Lytechinus pictus: one gene and its partner. The protein of the gene in region 1 interacts with the protein of each later gene in a pairwise test. Links are inferred from orthologs where the notes say so. Each region holds a gene or a part of one and is shown in the gene's direction. Other genes may lie near its edges.

What was found.
Region 2: the proteins of RING finger protein unkempt homolog (region 1) and headcase protein homolog interact in binary tests that used the Drosophila melanogaster proteins (3 or more experiments, as listed by UniProt). The link is inferred for Lytechinus pictus from reciprocal best matches to the Drosophila melanogaster genes unk and heca.

The regions. Positions count from the first base shown.
Region 1 is NC_087254.1:22,869,150-22,878,065, forward strand, and holds the start of RING finger protein unkempt homolog, read left to right. Parts: upstream 1-4,687; 5' UTR 4,688-4,796; coding exon 4,797-4,870; intron 4,871-4,973; coding exon 4,974-5,183; intron 5,184-8,916. Other genes in the region: TNF receptor-associated factor 6-like, read right to left, coding at 142-240, 2,286-2,343, 2,659-3,044. UniProt on the Drosophila melanogaster protein: Essential for late larval/early pupal development.
Region 2 is NC_087248.1:21,937,008-21,945,923, forward strand, and holds the start of headcase protein homolog, read left to right. Parts: upstream 1-4,408; 5' UTR 4,409-4,580; coding exon 4,581-6,485; 3' UTR 6,486-8,916. UniProt on the Drosophila melanogaster protein: Required for imaginal cell differentiation, may be involved in hormonal responsiveness during metamorphosis. Involved in an inhibitory signaling mechanism to determine the number of cells that will form unicellular sprouts in the trachea.

The DNA.
Region 1 (8,916 bases):
CAGTGTGTTGCATGCAATCAGAAGTAAAGCACACACAATTACACGAACGAATTAAATAAAAGGAAAGAAATAAAAAGACGTTGATTTTATGTAACTAAAATTGTCAATATTTGCAATTTTGAAATAAAACCCCAAACTAACCTCCAATAATCGAAGTTCTCCTTTCCATTCACAGTCTACATTAGCGCAGAGTACTATCAATGATAACACCTCTCTCTTCATTGCAATATCTTCAAACACCTGAAGAATTAAATTTAAAAAAAACTAGGGGATAATGATAATATTTTTGGCACTGGATACGTTGGCTATAACTTTCTTTTATAATACATGAGTTAAGAAACTTTGAGGGTGGAAATTTATAATGTCTTGCTAGCTAGTAGATGGATTCGAACATCGGACCTCAGACCACAGCACAGGACATGTTCACTGTAATCCACAGATGACCTTGGATGGGATTTTACGAGTGCACTCATCAATTTTTTGTCTCACCTGCATAGCAGAGTGAGACTATAGGCGCCGCTTTTCCGACGGCGACGGCGGCGGCGGCGACGGCGACGGCGGCGTCAACACCAAATCTTAACCTGAGGTTAAGTTTTTGAAATGACAGCATAACTTAGAAAGTATATGGACCTAGTTCATGAAACTTGGCCATAAGGTTAATCAAGTATTACTGAACATCCTGCCTGAGTTTCATGTCACATGACCAAGGTCAAAGGTCATTTAGGGTCAATGAACTTAGACCATGTTGGGGGAATCAACATCAAAATCTTAACCTAAGGTTAAGTTTTTGAAATGTCACCATAAATTAGAAAATATATGGACCTAGTTCATGAAACTTATACATAAGGTTAATCAAGTATCACTGAACATCCTGCATGAGTTTCACGACACATGACCAAGGTCAAAGGTCATTTAGGGTCAATGAACTTTGGCCGAATTGGGGGTATCTGTTGAATTACCATCATAACTTTGAAAGTTTATGGATCTGATTCATGAAACTTGGACATAATAGTAATCAAGTATTACTGAACATCCTGTGCAAGTTTCAGGTCACATGATCAAGGTCAAAGGTCATTTAGGGTCAATGAACTTTGGCCAAATTGGGGTATTTGTTGAATTACAGCCATAAATTTGAAAGTGTGTTGGTCTAGTTCATAAAACTTGGACATAAGAGTAATCAAGTATCACTGAACATCCTGTGCGAGTTTCAGGTCACATGATCAAGGTCAAAGGTCATGTAAGGTCAAAGAACTTTGGCCACGTTGGGGGTATTTGTTGAATTGCCATCATATCTCTATAAGTGTATTGGTCTAATTCATAAAACGTGGAAATACGAGTAACCAAGTATCACTGAACATCTTGTGCGAGTTATAGTAGTTTTCAAAATCAGCACTGCTGCTATATTGAATCGCGTGATGCAGGTGAGACGGCCAGAGGCATTCCACTTGTTATACTTTGATAACCGTTTCTTAGTATAAAAGGTGAATAAGAACTGTAGGGCGGTGCCCTTCCCACCAGGATTTATCATTCTTTTGCGGAGGATATGGTAAGGGTTGTAATGGACCATGGCCACATGCATCGGAAGGGGGGGGGGGGTTGCAGGGGGAAGTTGCTCCACAAAAAGTTTGAAAACAAAATAAACAAAATTGCACACGAAATCCTTTAATTTCACTTTAGGAAGAGCAAAAGCACCCTAACGACAAGCTCGGTCGCTTTGCTATTTCGCTTTTGAGTTCTTCAGATATTTTCACATGTCTTGTTCCCCCGAAAAAAATTATGCGTTCGACCATGTGCATGATTTGATTTATTAACATGAATATGAAAAAATGTTCTTAAGATCCTAAATTAACAAGGACAGAAATGGTAATAAAGTGACTGGAATCAGGAGGAGGAGGAGGGGAGGAGGAGGGGAGGAGGAGGGGAGGAGGAGGAGGAGGAGGAGAAGAAGAAGAATAAGAAGAAGGAGGAGGAGGAGGTAGAAGAATGAGAAGGAAAAAGAAGAAGAAGAAGAAGAAGAAGGAAGAAGAAGAAGAAGAAGAAGAAGAAGAAAAAGAAAAAGAAGAAGCTAGAAGAAGGAGGAGGAGGAGAAGGAGGAGGAAGAAGAAGGAAGAAGGAGGAGGAGAAGTAAATTGGGAAATGAGGAAGAAGAAGAAAATGAAGAAGAAGATGATGAAGAAGAAGATGATGAATGAGAAGGTGACGAAGGGGGTTGAGGATGAGAAGCTATAATGCGACGAGGAGGAGGAGAAAGGGGGTCGGGGATAAAGACTAAAATATATACTTACTTCACTGCGGACATCAAAGAATAATTTATCCAGAGGGCATTTGGCCACATTCCCCGGTCTAGAAAAAGTAGAGACCAGTATTAAACTTTTAGAAAATCAAAGAAAAAAAATAACGGTTATGTTCCTTAAGAAACATATATGACTTTTCCCATGACTACGTAAGTTATAGAGTATCAGTATTCAATGCAATACCCATGCCAGTCGAATGTTCAAAGCATTTTCATAACATCGTTTAATTTCTTACCGGCATTGGTGTCAATACATTTTCCGAAAGTCGACAATATCTGAGTGGAATTACCCTGTACGAGTTTCTTTTTAAAAGCCCTTTTGTAAGTCTTGAGATAGAATATAATACTTGAAGGGAACTTCTTACCCACTTGCCAGCGTCAAACACACTTTGCAAAACCTGTGCCCACATTTCGTTTGCAGAGGGTCACGGAGCGCCGACAGACAGACAGGACATACATATTTCTTGTCCAGCGGGGATTCGAACTGAGCCTCGTATCCACAAACTGCTGGTGACTCTGAACCGTCCGTGGTCGGGGAGACGGCTGCAGCTACTGCTGTCGTTGCACCAGTATCGTATGTCTCTTCTGCCCCGACTGCACTTTCTTCTTCCAACGCCATGACTTCTTCTGTTATTGAAAAAGTGTCGGTAGGACCCCGCCCAAAACCGCCGCCGAATCTTTGATCTCTGCGTTCCCGCCGACTATCGTATCGGTCGAAGAATCCACGATTTTGACGACGAGTCACAGGCATTTTGAATTGGTATTTTTCTTCTCCAGAAGCAATGCAACATCAAACTCTTAGAGCATTTGAAAGATGACGATGAAGTACAAACCACCGAAATACTCGCTTCTCTAGCTCGTGAACAATTCACTCAATCACCCGGCTCAATCATTTCGGGTTCTTTGAAAAGAGGGAGTAATAGCTAATTCACCATGCTGTTCGAAGGCACCATGCGAGCAAACTATGTCAGGCATGTGCTTAACTGGATTTTTCTTACAAACTGAAAGACAAAAGATTCATGCCTGACTAGCTACAGGCTCATACCATTTTCAAAGGAAATGTGCTTTTGTATCACTGCCATTTGTCGGGTGAATAGGTGCGAATGGGGGGGGGGGGGGGTAGAGTGCATTGCACTGCCACCACGCTATAGGCATTTTTTGTGTGTCTATCGATTTCTCTGTTCATTCATCAGCATGTTTGGAAGCGTTCGGTAGCATTGGAAGAAATCCGATTGATTGATAACATCGCAATGATTTGTTAGCACGTAAAAATAAAACAATTGTGGATGCCGCCGGATAGTACAATACCAGTACTATCACCTAATTATCTAACAAAATTATTTAAAACTAAATCCAAAGTCATACATGTACGAACACATTTTGCATCATTAGTAAAACGACCATCGGCAAGAAATTGAATGTTAGAAATCGATATTTTTTAACTTCTAAAAAGATAAAATTGTAAACTCCAGCTGGTAAAAGCCTTGAATTTCCGAGCACCATTTTCTGTAGTCTTGTTTATAGTTATAGAATGACTCCGGAACCCGGGGGGGGGGCACTCGACCAAAAAAGTGGTAGGGGTGTGCCGCGGGCGAGGCAAAAAACGGGGGCCTTGGAGCGGGCTTATTGTAAAAAGGAGGGTCCTCGGAACGGGCTTCGGAACTACAAATGTTTGTGAAAAGGGGGTCCTCGGAACGGATCTCCGTATCTCTGTGAGTGCGTATGCATCCCTATGGAACGGGCAATCGTGCATGACGCAGCTAGCGCGGCCTACGCCGGGTGCGCTCGCGCTTAGGCGATGGTCGAAAAGCGCTCTACGGCCGCTTTTCACCAAAATTGTAGCAGATCAATGCGACCGGAACGGCGTAACGAAAAATATGCGAAGCTTTGGAGCTGATTTCTTTCTTCTTTTTTCTCGATAAGAAGGAAATGCTATGCCTTGGAGCGGCTTTCTTTGTTCTTTTTCTCAATAAGACAAAAATGCTATGCCTTGGAACGGAAATTTGAGTGTAAAAATGGGGGTCCCCTCCGCGGCACATACCCACTATGCATTATATACTGAGTGCCCCCCCCCCCCCCCGGGCTCCGGAATTGGATCGCGAGGACAGGCCTGTATAATAATATGTGGCGTGCCATATCGTGAGTTTGTGAGTAATCAAACTGCCTTTGCCTGGCGAAACCTTGGCCAGTCAAGTATAAAATGTTTAGAATTATTTATTTTGTGTTTGGTCAAGAGTTTTTGAGATTTGAATTAATCGCAATTAAAAGTTATTTGTCGTTTGTTTTGGTAAACAAATGCACGTGTGTATCGCTCAGCTGTTTTGCCAAAATACGTGACGTCAGGGGGAAGCCCAGGTCATGTGACTTCATTCACTGGCTGAGGATTTTGACGTCAGAGTGAAGCTGATTGGCTTTGCAAAGAAGAGGTTTTCGCGCGGGCTAAATTCCCATCGTATGTGCGTACGTGCGGCGTGCACGTACAATAACAGCTAAAGTTATCAAAATGCCGTCCGAGCAGCAGAAGACTTCGGCTAATCAAGTCGTTTCTGCTCAACCAGAAAAACCTTTTCACTATACGTGAGTATACGAATACTGTGATTAATACATTCTGCTTCATTCTATGATTGTTTCAAAATATTTCCATGTTGTCTTCATGATGTTTTTTCGCTTTACTTTTCAGTTACCTGAAGGAGTTTCGTACACAACAATGCCAGGATTTCTTGCAACACAAGTGTCCAAATCATCGACCTTTTACTTGTTTTCAATGGCATTTTCTTAATCAACGAAGAAGGAGACCGATACGAAAACGTGATGGAACATTTAATTATAGCCCGGATATATATTGCTCCAAGTATGACGAAACTTCAGGCCTTTGTGAAGACAGAGATGAGTGAGTATTGCCATTGTTTTTGTCCCGGAGTTGAGAGATAGCTCAGCTGTAGTGCGTTAATGACGCCATGTTTGTTATTGCCGATACGCAAAAAACTTGTTGACATAATTTGACAGAAATTTGCACTCGAGTAGTTCAAGCGACAAGAAGAAAGCATCGATGTATTGCATACCAACTTATGTTAAATTTACCACAGACTATTTTGATATTGTTAAAATCATGTGTTATTGGGTTAAAACGGCAAAATCTGTCGCTGCTGCAATGTAGTTACATCCAAACAATTCACAATGTGCTATTGCAAATGTAGTGGATTCATATTTGGGCGCGCTCCCGCACGTTTAATTGCGTGCCTTGTTTTGTTCGGAGCGTGACGGCCGAATGGGACGGGCACGGCATGCAATCATCCCAGGCAAGTGATAAGGGTCAGCTCGGCCCGGACCAGTAATCTGTCATGATTGGGGAATTGGGGTTTCATGTTTCTGAGCAGAACTCCATCCAAATCTAACCATTTGATAGTGCAAAAGGTAGTGAACATCTGACTGTGATTTGCAATACTAGGCCCGGCCCTGGCCCTGCACATGCAGAATGCCCAATTCCAACAACCACCCTAGTATAACGTTAGTGTTTTAAAACAAACAGCACCTGAGCATAGCCAGGTTTGTGTAACTATTGGTAATTATGTTTTTCAAATGGATAGCAGCCTTTTAATCAAATGAGAATGTTTATGCCAAATAAATGTATTATTCTTGCTATTTAATTAATTTTGAAGGGAGATCCAAACAAAATATTTAGAAAAGGAAGTTTAAAAAAATGAATGAAGCAGAAAAAAAAAATATTGTTTGTTGCATGTTTGTGATGTTAAGCCCCCATCACACTTATTCCGAATCAAGCAGAATTGGCCTGAATGAAAGGACTATTGTTTGACAACCAGTTGGTCATTTAAATCTACTTTGAACACCGTTCGAAAATATTCCTCAAATGTTTTGAACATGACCAAAACCTTCGGGACGGCCAAAAGAAATGACAAAAATATTTCGAATGCACTCAGAATGCAGTCAGGATATTTAGAATGCCCCTAGAATGTCCGAGAACGTAGCACGAATTATCAATCTGACTCCATTGCGGTTCATTTTGACTAGTGTATGATGATACACCTGGTCAATTTACTGAATTTCAACTCCAGTTTGGTGTGAAGAATTGTGAAGTTCCTCCCAAAAATTTCTAGATTTTTTGAATATTTTTTTCTTTCCAGCTTCTGCTTGATTCCTGCTGATTCCAAATAAGTGTGATGGGGGCTTTAGATTTTGACAACTTTTCCAAAAAATCATTCAGAATAATGTTTAAATTTTATACAGAAGTATGCTACATCTACATGTACATGTAGACCTATAATGATGATTGGTATGTGTTATATTTATTACCAATTGGTACAAGAATGTACTGTGCTTAAACTGTAAAAGCGCTGTTTAAAAATCAAGCACGTTGTTTAAGCCCATCAATCTTATAATTATTGTTTAAAGTTTTTAAACAACTGTTTAAATTTAAAAAAAAAAGTTTAAATAACTTGTTACAGTGACAGGCTTAAACAATGTGCTATATTTTTTTACTGTGTAGGCACTTGAAGAAATACCACAAACTCCTGAAATTAAAGAACACTACAAATGACAAAAAATGTCCTTTTTCAAACTTATATACATGTAGCATTCCTATTATATATTTTTTTGCTTTACTGTACGATGTAGGTTGGATTATACTAAAATGATTCTAAAGGCCTGCATTTAGCATTCACCTAATTATCTGACTTGCTTTAAAAGATATTCATACCTGTACATATAATCTGTTTCTGTATTTGCGTTGATAGACTGTTATACTCTGAAGTATGGCCAGTGATTGCTTTTGCGTAAAAATGATTGAAGTGTAAAGCCTACTGTAGTAAATTGTACTGGGTGTTGTGGCGTGCGCCTGTAATCCAAGCTATGTGGAGAAGTTACAAATTGATGCAGAGGTGTGAGCCCTGGTCAAGTCTTTCGGATGGTGACGTTAAAGGTTGGTCCCAGACTCAAAATACACACATACACACACACACTCAAATCCAAAAATGTCATCCATAATGAAACAATTACAGTACATGTGTGTTTACATTCTAAGACCAAAAGCTTCTGTCTCTGTAGTACTGTACATTGGCTCTTCCGCTGAACTCCTTTGGCTCCACTTACAATGTAAACAAGTGTTTTAAAAATGTATAAAAACTCCTCCAAACAGACAGATTTCAGCTGTCTCATTCTAAGTATGCATTTTAAGCACTTTCTCTGCAAATTAGTACAAGGTAGTTTGAACTTTTCAGTATAATGTATTGTATACATGTAAATGTATTTCTATCGAAGAAAATGATATAATCTACAATGCTACATAATGCATATAGAGTTTGTATATACTAGACTAGTGTTATTTAACAGTATCAACGAAGAAGGAAAGATGTATTGTACATATCTGGTGTGTATATTTGAAAAATCTAAGGGGGGGGGGCAAAGGTGAAAAAAATTTATCCACAGATGGCAAGCAATTCATTGCTTCAAAAATTACTATTGGTATTTATACCAAATTATTACAAACATTCCAAATCAAATGTATGGGAAAAGAAATCTTGTTGTTCTGAAACTTCTGTGACAAATCTAATCTCCCAGAAGAAAGTTTCTCCATGTGATAAGGTCAGTTTTAATATTCAAGATTTTAGCAAAATGTTTTAGAAACAAACATAATATGACAAAGCTACAAAGTACATGTAAAGTACATCGTACAGTAACAGACAGCAAAATATTTCAATTATGTTTCTGTATCTGCACACAATTACAGTATACTGTACGGTACATGTAGTTCTTGACTCAAGGAAAGATCGGGAACTTTTATGTTGATGAGTTGAGCTTGAGCATATAAAGTGAAACCCTTCATGAATACAGTACACTCTGTTGAAGTTGATATTAAGTCAAATAATTGCCTTCATGTTATGTAAATTATCAAATTATTATCTCAGACCAGAATTAAATAGCTTAGTCAAATACATGTTCATGTATATTTCTGTGGTCTCAAAAGATGCGACTTACATGTACATGTGTAGGTTATCCAGGTCCCTGTTGCATAAAAGTTACTCTTTTCAATCCAATGCTAATCAGCCAATGAGAATCAATGATTTCAGGGAAGAAACCATTGGATTACCATTGCCATCCAATGGTACAAAAGTATGTAACTACCATGGTAACGATGTTCAGCAGCCAATCAAAATCAAAGATTCCATGCAAGTTACCATTGTATGGCAAAGTTACCATTTGCTACAGCCCAAAAAAAGCCCAAAATTGATCAATTGATTGTGAAATTGCACCAGGGCCCTGTTCATGGTTGCCAACCATTCAGTTTTTAACGAATTGGTCCCGTTTTTTAAAGTTTTTATATCCCTAAAAAGACATAACGTTCCGACGTGGGGATTTTGGGACATTTGGCTTTTCATACTCGCATGGGTCCGAGTTGCGCTGAATGGGTTTCTGTTGCATGAAAGTTACCATTATGGTAAATTTGCCATCCAATAATGGTACATGTACATGTAACTTGCATGGAATCCTTGATTTTGATTGGCTGTTCACATGTACATGTACATGTAGTTAAATGTACCATTGGATGGCAGAGTTAACTTCCATGCAACAGGACCCAGAAAATTTGTGATTGATTGCAAATGTTTTCT
Region 2 (8,916 bases), on another chromosome or scaffold:
AGATATCTGATTAAAAGGTGTTAGGGGAAAGCGTGAATAGAAGAAAAAAGTGATGGATAGAGATAAAATAAAAGATGGATGAGGGTGTGGAGTCTAAGGATAAATGGGTGAATAGGAGAAAGTGAACGAATGGATGAATCCGAGAAGAGATCAAAGGATGAATAATCAATGAAAAGGATGGAGGGATAGATAGATGGATGGATGAATAGATAGGTAGATAGATTGATAGATAGATCGATAGATAGGTAGGTAGGTAGGTAGGTAGATAGATGGATGGATAGATAAATAGATAGATAGATAGGTAGATGTAGATAGGTAGATAGATAGATAGATAGATTTAGATAGATAGATAGCTAGATAGATAGATGTAGATAGATGGATAGATAGATAGATAGATAGCTAGAGAGATAGATAGATAGATAGATAGATAGATAGATAGATAGATAGATAGATAGATAGATAGATAGATGTAGATAGATAGAGAGAGAGATATATATATATATAGATAGATAGATAGATAGATAGATAGATAGACAGACAGACATATATAGATAGATAGGTAGGTAGAGAGAGAGAGATTGACTTTATGGACTAGATGGATGGAAAGATTGAATATTAATGACAAAAGTAAAATGATGGAAGAATGAAGAAGACATCAATGGATCAAGTGGAGAAGGATCGAGGTGGATGGATAGATACATGGATTTATGAATAGAACTGAGAAAGTGGATTGATGGATGGAAAGATGATGGGGTGGACTGATAGATGAATGGAGGGACTCAGCGAATGTATGAATTAGAAAAGAAATGAATGGATGAAGTAGGGAATGGACAGATAATGGATATATGAATCGAGAGCCTGGATGGATGACCTACAGAAGGGATCAATGGATAAAGTGTGAGAGAGATGTATGGATGGGTGGGTGGATGGATGGATGGATAGATGGGTGGGTGGGTGGATGGATGAATGAAAGGATGGGTGGATGGGCGGGTGGGTGGGTGGATAGATGGATGGGTGGGTGGATGGATGGATGGGTGGGTGGGTGGGTGGGTGGGTGGATGGATGGATGGATGGTTGGTTGGATGGATGGATGGATGGATGGGTGGATGGGTGGATGGATGGATGGGTGGATGGTTGGTTGGATGGTTGGTTGGATGGATGGATGGATGGATGGATGGATGGATGGTGGATGGATGGATTGGTGGATGGATGGATGGGTGGATGGATGGATGGATGGTTGGTTGGTTGGATGGATGGATGGTGGATGGATGGATTGGTGGCCGGTGGATGGTGGGTTGGATGGATGGATGGGTGGATGATCGGATGGATGGGTGGATGGATGGATGGATGGATGGTTGGTTGGTTGGATGGATGGATGGGTGGATGGATGGATGGGTGGGTGAGTGGATGGATGGATGGGTGGATGGATGGATGGATGGTTGGTTGGTTGGATGGATGGATGGTGGATGGATGGATTGGTGGCCGGTGGATGGTGGGTTGGATGGATGGATGGGTGGATGATCGGATGGATGGGTGGATGGATGGATGGATGGTTGGTTGGTTGGATGGATGGATGGGTGGATGGATGGATGGGTGGGTGGGTGAGTGGATGGAAGGATGGATGGAGTGGGTGGAAGGGGGAACGGACGGACGGTTGGCCGGTGGGTGGATGGATGCATGCATGCATAAACTGGAGAAGGGTAAATTTTGATGAAGAGGGAAAAGAAGCAATAAGAAGTGAAAAGGGTCATATACTGTGTTATGTGAGAAGAGTGTTATTAACCCCCTGAAACTGACTGTGTTTCATGAAATCAGCTTTTAAAATGGGCGTGATTATAAGGGCAAAAGATAGAGGTTTGACTTGAGGACGTCTAGAAGAGAGTTCCTTTTGCTTTGTTTTCTTTATATACTATTTCTTTTAATCAATTTCCAGCCAAGCATCAAAAGGCAATATAATGATCCAATGAAATTACACACTAAATTGTAGGGATTTAAAGTAAATCCACGTAGATAATAGTTAGGGATCAATCGAATTCTGGAATTATTTTTAATCCTAAACTTCATTTTTAAAGGATTTAAATTAAAATTCCTAACTAACTTTAAAATATTTTTAGGATTAAAATTAAATCTATAATACGATTGGTATACCTAACTACAGACCACCTGGATTTATTTTAAATCCCTGCAATTTAGAGTGGGAGACCCACCTCCCCCCCCCCCCAAAAAAAAAAAGTGTGCAAACCAGCCAACAGAATATTGGTGTGAGCACAAAAAGAACTGATTACAAACAACTCTGTTTCTATCAAAGCATCTCTGACTATATCTGCCGATATAATCAGTCCAATCATTAAAAACTCATAGGGAAAACATACGCGTAATTAGAAAAAATGCAAATGAGTAGTGAATAAATGGGGAATTTTATCTTTTAAAAGAAAATGAAAGAAAGAAAGAAGGATCGAAGGAAAGAAAGAAAGAAAGAAAGAAGGAAGGAAGGAAGGAAAGAAAGAAAGAAAGAAAGAAAGGACAAGAAGAGATAGATCTATATTTATTTATTTATTTATTTATTTATTTATTTATTCATGCATGTTCACAATATACAATGTAAAAGAATACACAGATAATGTATAAATATATGAAAACACAAGTAAATAATGAACATACAAAGGTGTTGCAACATAAGCTAAAAGCTTGATTGGTTTAAGCACCTTTAAACTGGTTTTGCATCCAAGAAAACAAAATAAAAATGTAAGAATAAGGAAGAGAGGAAAGAAAGAGAAGAATGTAAAAGTGATAGACTGCCGAGATATAACAATTAAGTTTTAAATTGTTATGAATATATGGTAGAGTAATTCAACAAAGTTAAATTCTTAATCTTCAGTTACGAATAAGAGAAAGAAAGAAGATTTAATTACTTACATGTATACGTTACTAGCAGTTTACACATTCTGTAATTTTGAAAGGAGATTGTGCTTTACAGCCAATTTAAAAGAATGTGAGGTTTTCAAATTTCGAATATTATGTGGAAGAGAATTCCAAACATCTGAACCACGGTGTCTGATTGATTTATGAGCTAATGCGGTGCGGGGATTAACCAAATGTATGTTCGATGACTGTCTTGTGCTATATGAATGGACAGTGCTGTTAGGCTGAAACATTGAAGAAAATGAGTCAGGCAGCATATTGGCATTAAAACGGAACATAAATAAGGCAGTTTGCAAAAAATTTATATCTTCTACCTTCAAACACTTCAGCTTTACAAATAAGGGATTTGTATGGTCTCTGTAACCAGACCCAGTACATGTGCGAACTGCTTTCTTTTGCAGGAGAAATATATTGGTAGTTGACACTTTTGGTAACAAAAAGGAAACTTGGATGAAAAAGTAAACGCAAGAAAAGGGACAATTACTCTTACTTTTATATCCTAAGAATATGTTTCAATGAATTGAGTATCAACAATCTCTCTTCATCCACCCTTGATCTTTTCTGCTTTTCTCCGCTTTCACTCCCTGATAATGTAATCTTTTCAAGCAGCCGCCCGAGGTTCTTTTTTTTTGGGGGGGGGGGGGGTGATTCCTTGATAGGGGGCAAACGTCCTAAAAATTTGACGTCATATTTTTTTTCATTAATTGAATATAGGAGTATTATAGAGTTACATGGCCACGGACTCTCCTTTTTGCTCTTTTTCCCACTTATTTTTCGCCCTATATACTTGAAAAATCCCAGAGGATGGTGTGGTGCCGCGCCCTTGTCCGTTCCCTAATTCTCTTTTTATATTACTTCATCCATACGCGCACCCCCCCCCCTTCTTTTTTCTACTGTCTCTACTAAACTTTTGCTCTCATCAATCTTTATTTTTCATGCTATATAGCTGCTTGAATACCTCACCAGCCAAAACTAGAATATTGTGTTCGTATCAATCATATTAAAGATGAAGAGGAGTTTGCGCGTCAATCGATCATTATCTAATATTACGTAATGCATTGCAATGTCCCGGAAACAACGGTGTATACAGTTGTATGCTAATTGGTCCCGAGTGAATGCCCCCAAACCCTTATTAAATTACTAATTACATTCACTGCCGCTATAGCTTCGTACTTACAATGTCCTATTTTATCATAATACACAGAGAACCACACTTCCCTGGTACATGGTTTGAAGGAATACAGTATGATTGACAAATTTACAGAATCAAAACAAACGAGTTGATCCCTGAACGCTGAGCACTTGGCACAGTTACGGTAAACCCGTCAATGCAAAAACCACAATGTCGTGCGCAAAAGATAAGCCCGAGTTGTTTACTCGCAGCTCTATGCAAATTTGCAATTACATCATCTTGGTCCAATCACCGAGCCTGATAATTTACACTGTCGAGGCTTGGTCCAATGACAGACCTTGAACCAAATATGCTAAAAGACGATCTGGGCACCGAGACACGCCTCCAGCGGACCCCAAATATCCAAACAATCATCTCGAAAGCGTGAGACGAACCTCATGTGCATTTGTTTACATCATAAATTGGACTGAATTTTGGGATTTATCAATACCCCGTTACAACCATTCTGTGTAAAATGTAATCGTCTATGTTTTGTCGGACAGCCATGCCGTTCTCTCGCGATGATAAACAGCATAGAGCCGACCAATTTCGCCAGCAAGTAGAAGAACAGCTGGATGAGCAAGATGCTGGCGATGGTGATGGCGAAGTAAACAACAATGAACACGAGGAGCCATGTTGTGTTCCGTTGAGTTGCACTGAAGGCGAATCTGTGCATACGGACGATCCGGATGACTGTCAAAAAGTTGTCTGCAACAATCCGGAGTGCACACAGGGGAAATACATGCATAAGATTTGCTTTGATATATGGGAGGATGAAGTTCTAACATATCTGCGATCGTCTGGTCGGGCGAGAAGCTGGTCGGAAAAGCAGCGTCGCCAGAATTTGTGGACAAAGAAAGGCTACGACTTGGCGTGGAAAGCATGCTCGTGCAAGTGTGGCAAGGGTCATCTACGGAAGGACCTGGAATGGATACCGCCGAAGCTCCCCGAGGGTGCTGCTGCTGAGAATGCCCAGCAACGTAGACATCGACGCCGCAAGAAGTCCAATGAGAAACCAACCATTGGCCGAGCTAATTCGATCAGTTCAAGTTCTGGAAATGGCAATGGAAATGGCAATGGGAATGGAAATGGCCACGGAAATGGACACGGTAGACTGCGACACACATCAGCTTCGTCAACAGCATCGACCGAAAGCAACCACACTCCACCACAAAGTCCAAGTGTTTATCAACCAGGCAGCAAAAACCAACGTTTTCCACCACAGATAGCAGTGGTTTCGAATCCACCTACCAGTACCGTTTCTGCTGCCACAGCTGCAACTTCTAGCCACCCAGCAACACCTACCACAACAGCAACATCGACTGCAAGTTCAACAGCATCCGCTGTAACCCCAACATCGGTGAGCCACAGCACACAGTCACAGAGCCATGATAATTGGAATAAGCGGCAACATGGTGGAAGCAGTGGCGGAAAAATCCAGAATCAACCCCATCATTTTGTATCTCCGATGCCACAGCAGCAGTATCAGGGGCCACAATCTCATCACGACTACCATGGGCCACCACTGAGTATGGCCCATCACCAACAGGGTGGCAACAGGCAGGCCCAACCTACCAACAGATCACCACAATTTCATCACGGTGGACCACCTGACTTTCGACCGCAGGGAGAGAGGTCTGGCAACATGCAAGCTGCCCTCAACACCAACTTCTTCAGCAGCAATGTCTACTGGAATCCCACTACGGATAACATGCCTCCTCCTGGCAGCAGTTCAAATAGCAGTGGCAGTGGCGGAACTGGTACACGAGGTTTCTTACCACGTTTGGATCTGTCTGCCTTCTACCAGGTGTTGCCGGCACACAAGCTCAACTCGTACCACATCAAGATGGAAGAGGACAGTCAGCCGGAGTCCGAGGAGATACGCTCCTTCATATTCGCGACTCTCAATATACATGGCACCCGTGTCATTCCATGTTCCGTGTGTACGAGGAAGCTTCCCGTCTTTGATCGCTATCCTCTGATCGATGGCACATTCTATCTTACTCCGCAACGACAGGGCGATGGTAACAAGGGTCTACAAGTTGGTCTCCAGAGCTCCCAGTACCTGAATGCTGTCTGCATGCAGTGCTTAGAGGGTGTTCAGCGGATCGTCTGCCGTATATGCAAGTCGCGTTGGGATGGTAGTCATCACCAGCTGGGGACGCTCTACTCCTACGACATCTTCGCAGCCTACCCCTGCTGCCCGGGGAGGGCGGGATGCAAGCGGTGCGGCAAGCCAGTCATCGACCCCACCCGCGGCACGCACTTCTTCAGCGAGTACTCAAGGAGTATACAATGCCCCCACTGCGGCGTTCCCGACTTCCACTTTGTGAAACCGCTGAGCAGTTACGAGGTCCACTCCAATTCTGTACAATCGATCAATGTATGTTAACCACTTGATCGCTTTATAGAAGAGTACTGATTCAGTGTACATGTAAGCATACTCCAGCGGAAAGCAAGGATTTTGAATCGCATTATTATGGCAAAATCTTAGACCGATTTGAACTCTCTCGAGCCTGATACGGTGTTATATTTTCTGACCTTTTCATACATAGTTTGTTTTCTTATCTTCTCAGTTTTAAAACTTAGTATCTTGTTTGATATCTATATTTTTTGAAAGCATGGTAATTGAACTTATCGAGATGCTTTGTTTGAAGCATAGATTTTGTTCCTATACAAAGCAGTTCATACATACGTGTAAAGCATTTATCAATATAGATGTTTTTGTATTTAATCAAGTATAATCAATTTGTAAATTGTTGATCACATACATACATGTTTACATTGTATTTGATAGTGTGCTCTATCAGTAATGATCAGTTGATACAAAAGACGACTGATGGTAATTGTATCATTGATTTTCATGCTTTCTGCTGAGTTGCCAAGATTTAGGATATGCCCAATATCAAAATTGGCAGGCATTCAGTTGGCAAAATTAGCAATTTCTCTGTTTGATCATGTGCTCTAGGTATATGAAATTACTCTCAGCATACCGGTAATAGGTCTCCTGGGGCCTGTTGCAGAAAGAGTTGCAATCAAACGCAACTCAAAAAATCTGTCGCATCTTGATTTTCAGCCAATGAAGCACACGCAATGGGGACTTGTGCTTGATATTTTGACTTGCGTTTAAACGCAACTCTTTCTGCAGCAGGCCCCTGAAAGGAAAAATACTTAACTTAAACAACAATAAACAATTGGTTTTTTAAAAGTCTCAGTAAGTTGTTCATTTTGGGAGTACGTAAAGGTTCATCTATGAATAGTGAAGCACCAAATCAATAATGTTGCAAGTGTAGAAATTATTAGTGAAATGCATTTCCTGATTGAATTATTTTAAAGGAAAATTACTCCAGGGCCCCATCTTACAATAGTTACAATTGATCCGATCTAACTCAACTGTATGGAAATCCATTGATGTCATAATTTCTGTCTACAAGGAATTTGTACAGTGTCCTTTGTAAACAAAGAGAAGCACACTGAATTTTTCAAGAAATCAATGAATGTGATATCTAAAAACTGTTGCGAGTAAACATGCATTTTAGATGTTGATGGCTTTCCATAGTTATGTTTGACCAGATCAATTGCAACTCTATGTAAGATGGGGCCTACAATAGGTCACTTCCAATGTGGAAAGACAGAGAACATGTTTTATTTGTTGTTCAGACTGACAAGTGCAAGTAATTTCTTTAATTATTTCCATTTTAGTGAGTCAGACTTGAGCGGTTGGCCTCTTTTCTGTTTTGCGGACTGACACATTGATTACGCTTTCAACAACTTACATGTAGTCATTCAATGTGAAGAGAATTCATTGATTCAAGATTAAGGCAGAGGCTTTGATGTTTCTTTCCTTGCAAACCTAGTAAAGGGGTCTTCCATTAAAGGGGAATTCAGCCTTGGCCATAAAATGTTGTGTTGGGAAGGAGAAAAATAAATTAAACAGAATAGTGAAAGTTTGAAAGAAATCGTACAAGCAATAAGAAAGTTATAGCTGCTTTAAAATTGAGGTCACTAATACTATGTAGATTTCAAATTGGCAACTAGGTATTACAATGTATGACAAGGGGCAAGGACAACTTTCCCATAGGCCATGTATTGTTATCAGGGATTTTTGGTTTTCTCCTAAGTACCCATTCCCCTGGTGCAGTAATCTAAATATAACACAGGAAGTATATTGTTTTATGTCCTCATGAAAGAAAAATATAATTTGCAATAAAACTTTTGGGAAAAATGACATTTTAGCCATAATATGTATTGGAGTACATGGAAGAGTAGTCCTTGCCTTACATCACTATGACATCCCATATGCGGCCAATTTTAAGTCTCCATGGGTATAGTGATTACCAATATTTACAACTTTAAAAAATTCATAACTTTCTTGTTGTTTGTCCAATATTGTTCAAACTTTCACCTATAAACTTGTCTGATTTTTCTTTTCCTTATACAAACAAGTTTTTATTTGGGTTGGATTCCCCTTTAAGTTAGTGAATGAACTTCACAAATGCATGCCATTCAGTTTTGAAATATTTGTTGCTCTGCTTGGCAAGATTTTATGTCATTTCTTAACATCTGCTTGAAATTTGAATGTTTTTATTTTGGATAGATTGGAGATAAATCTGTCCCAGTAACACATACCAACTTAATATTTTCTAATGGTTGATTTACTTCTTAAGACTACTATGTCAATATTTCACTGGAAATGTCCATAACTTTTGATGTACTCTTCAGAAATTATGAGAAATATGAAGTTTAAATTAAAAACATGAAGCTTGAGTGTTGCTAAAAAGCCAAAAAGTGGCTTTTGTGTGGAATTTGAACTCATCTTAATA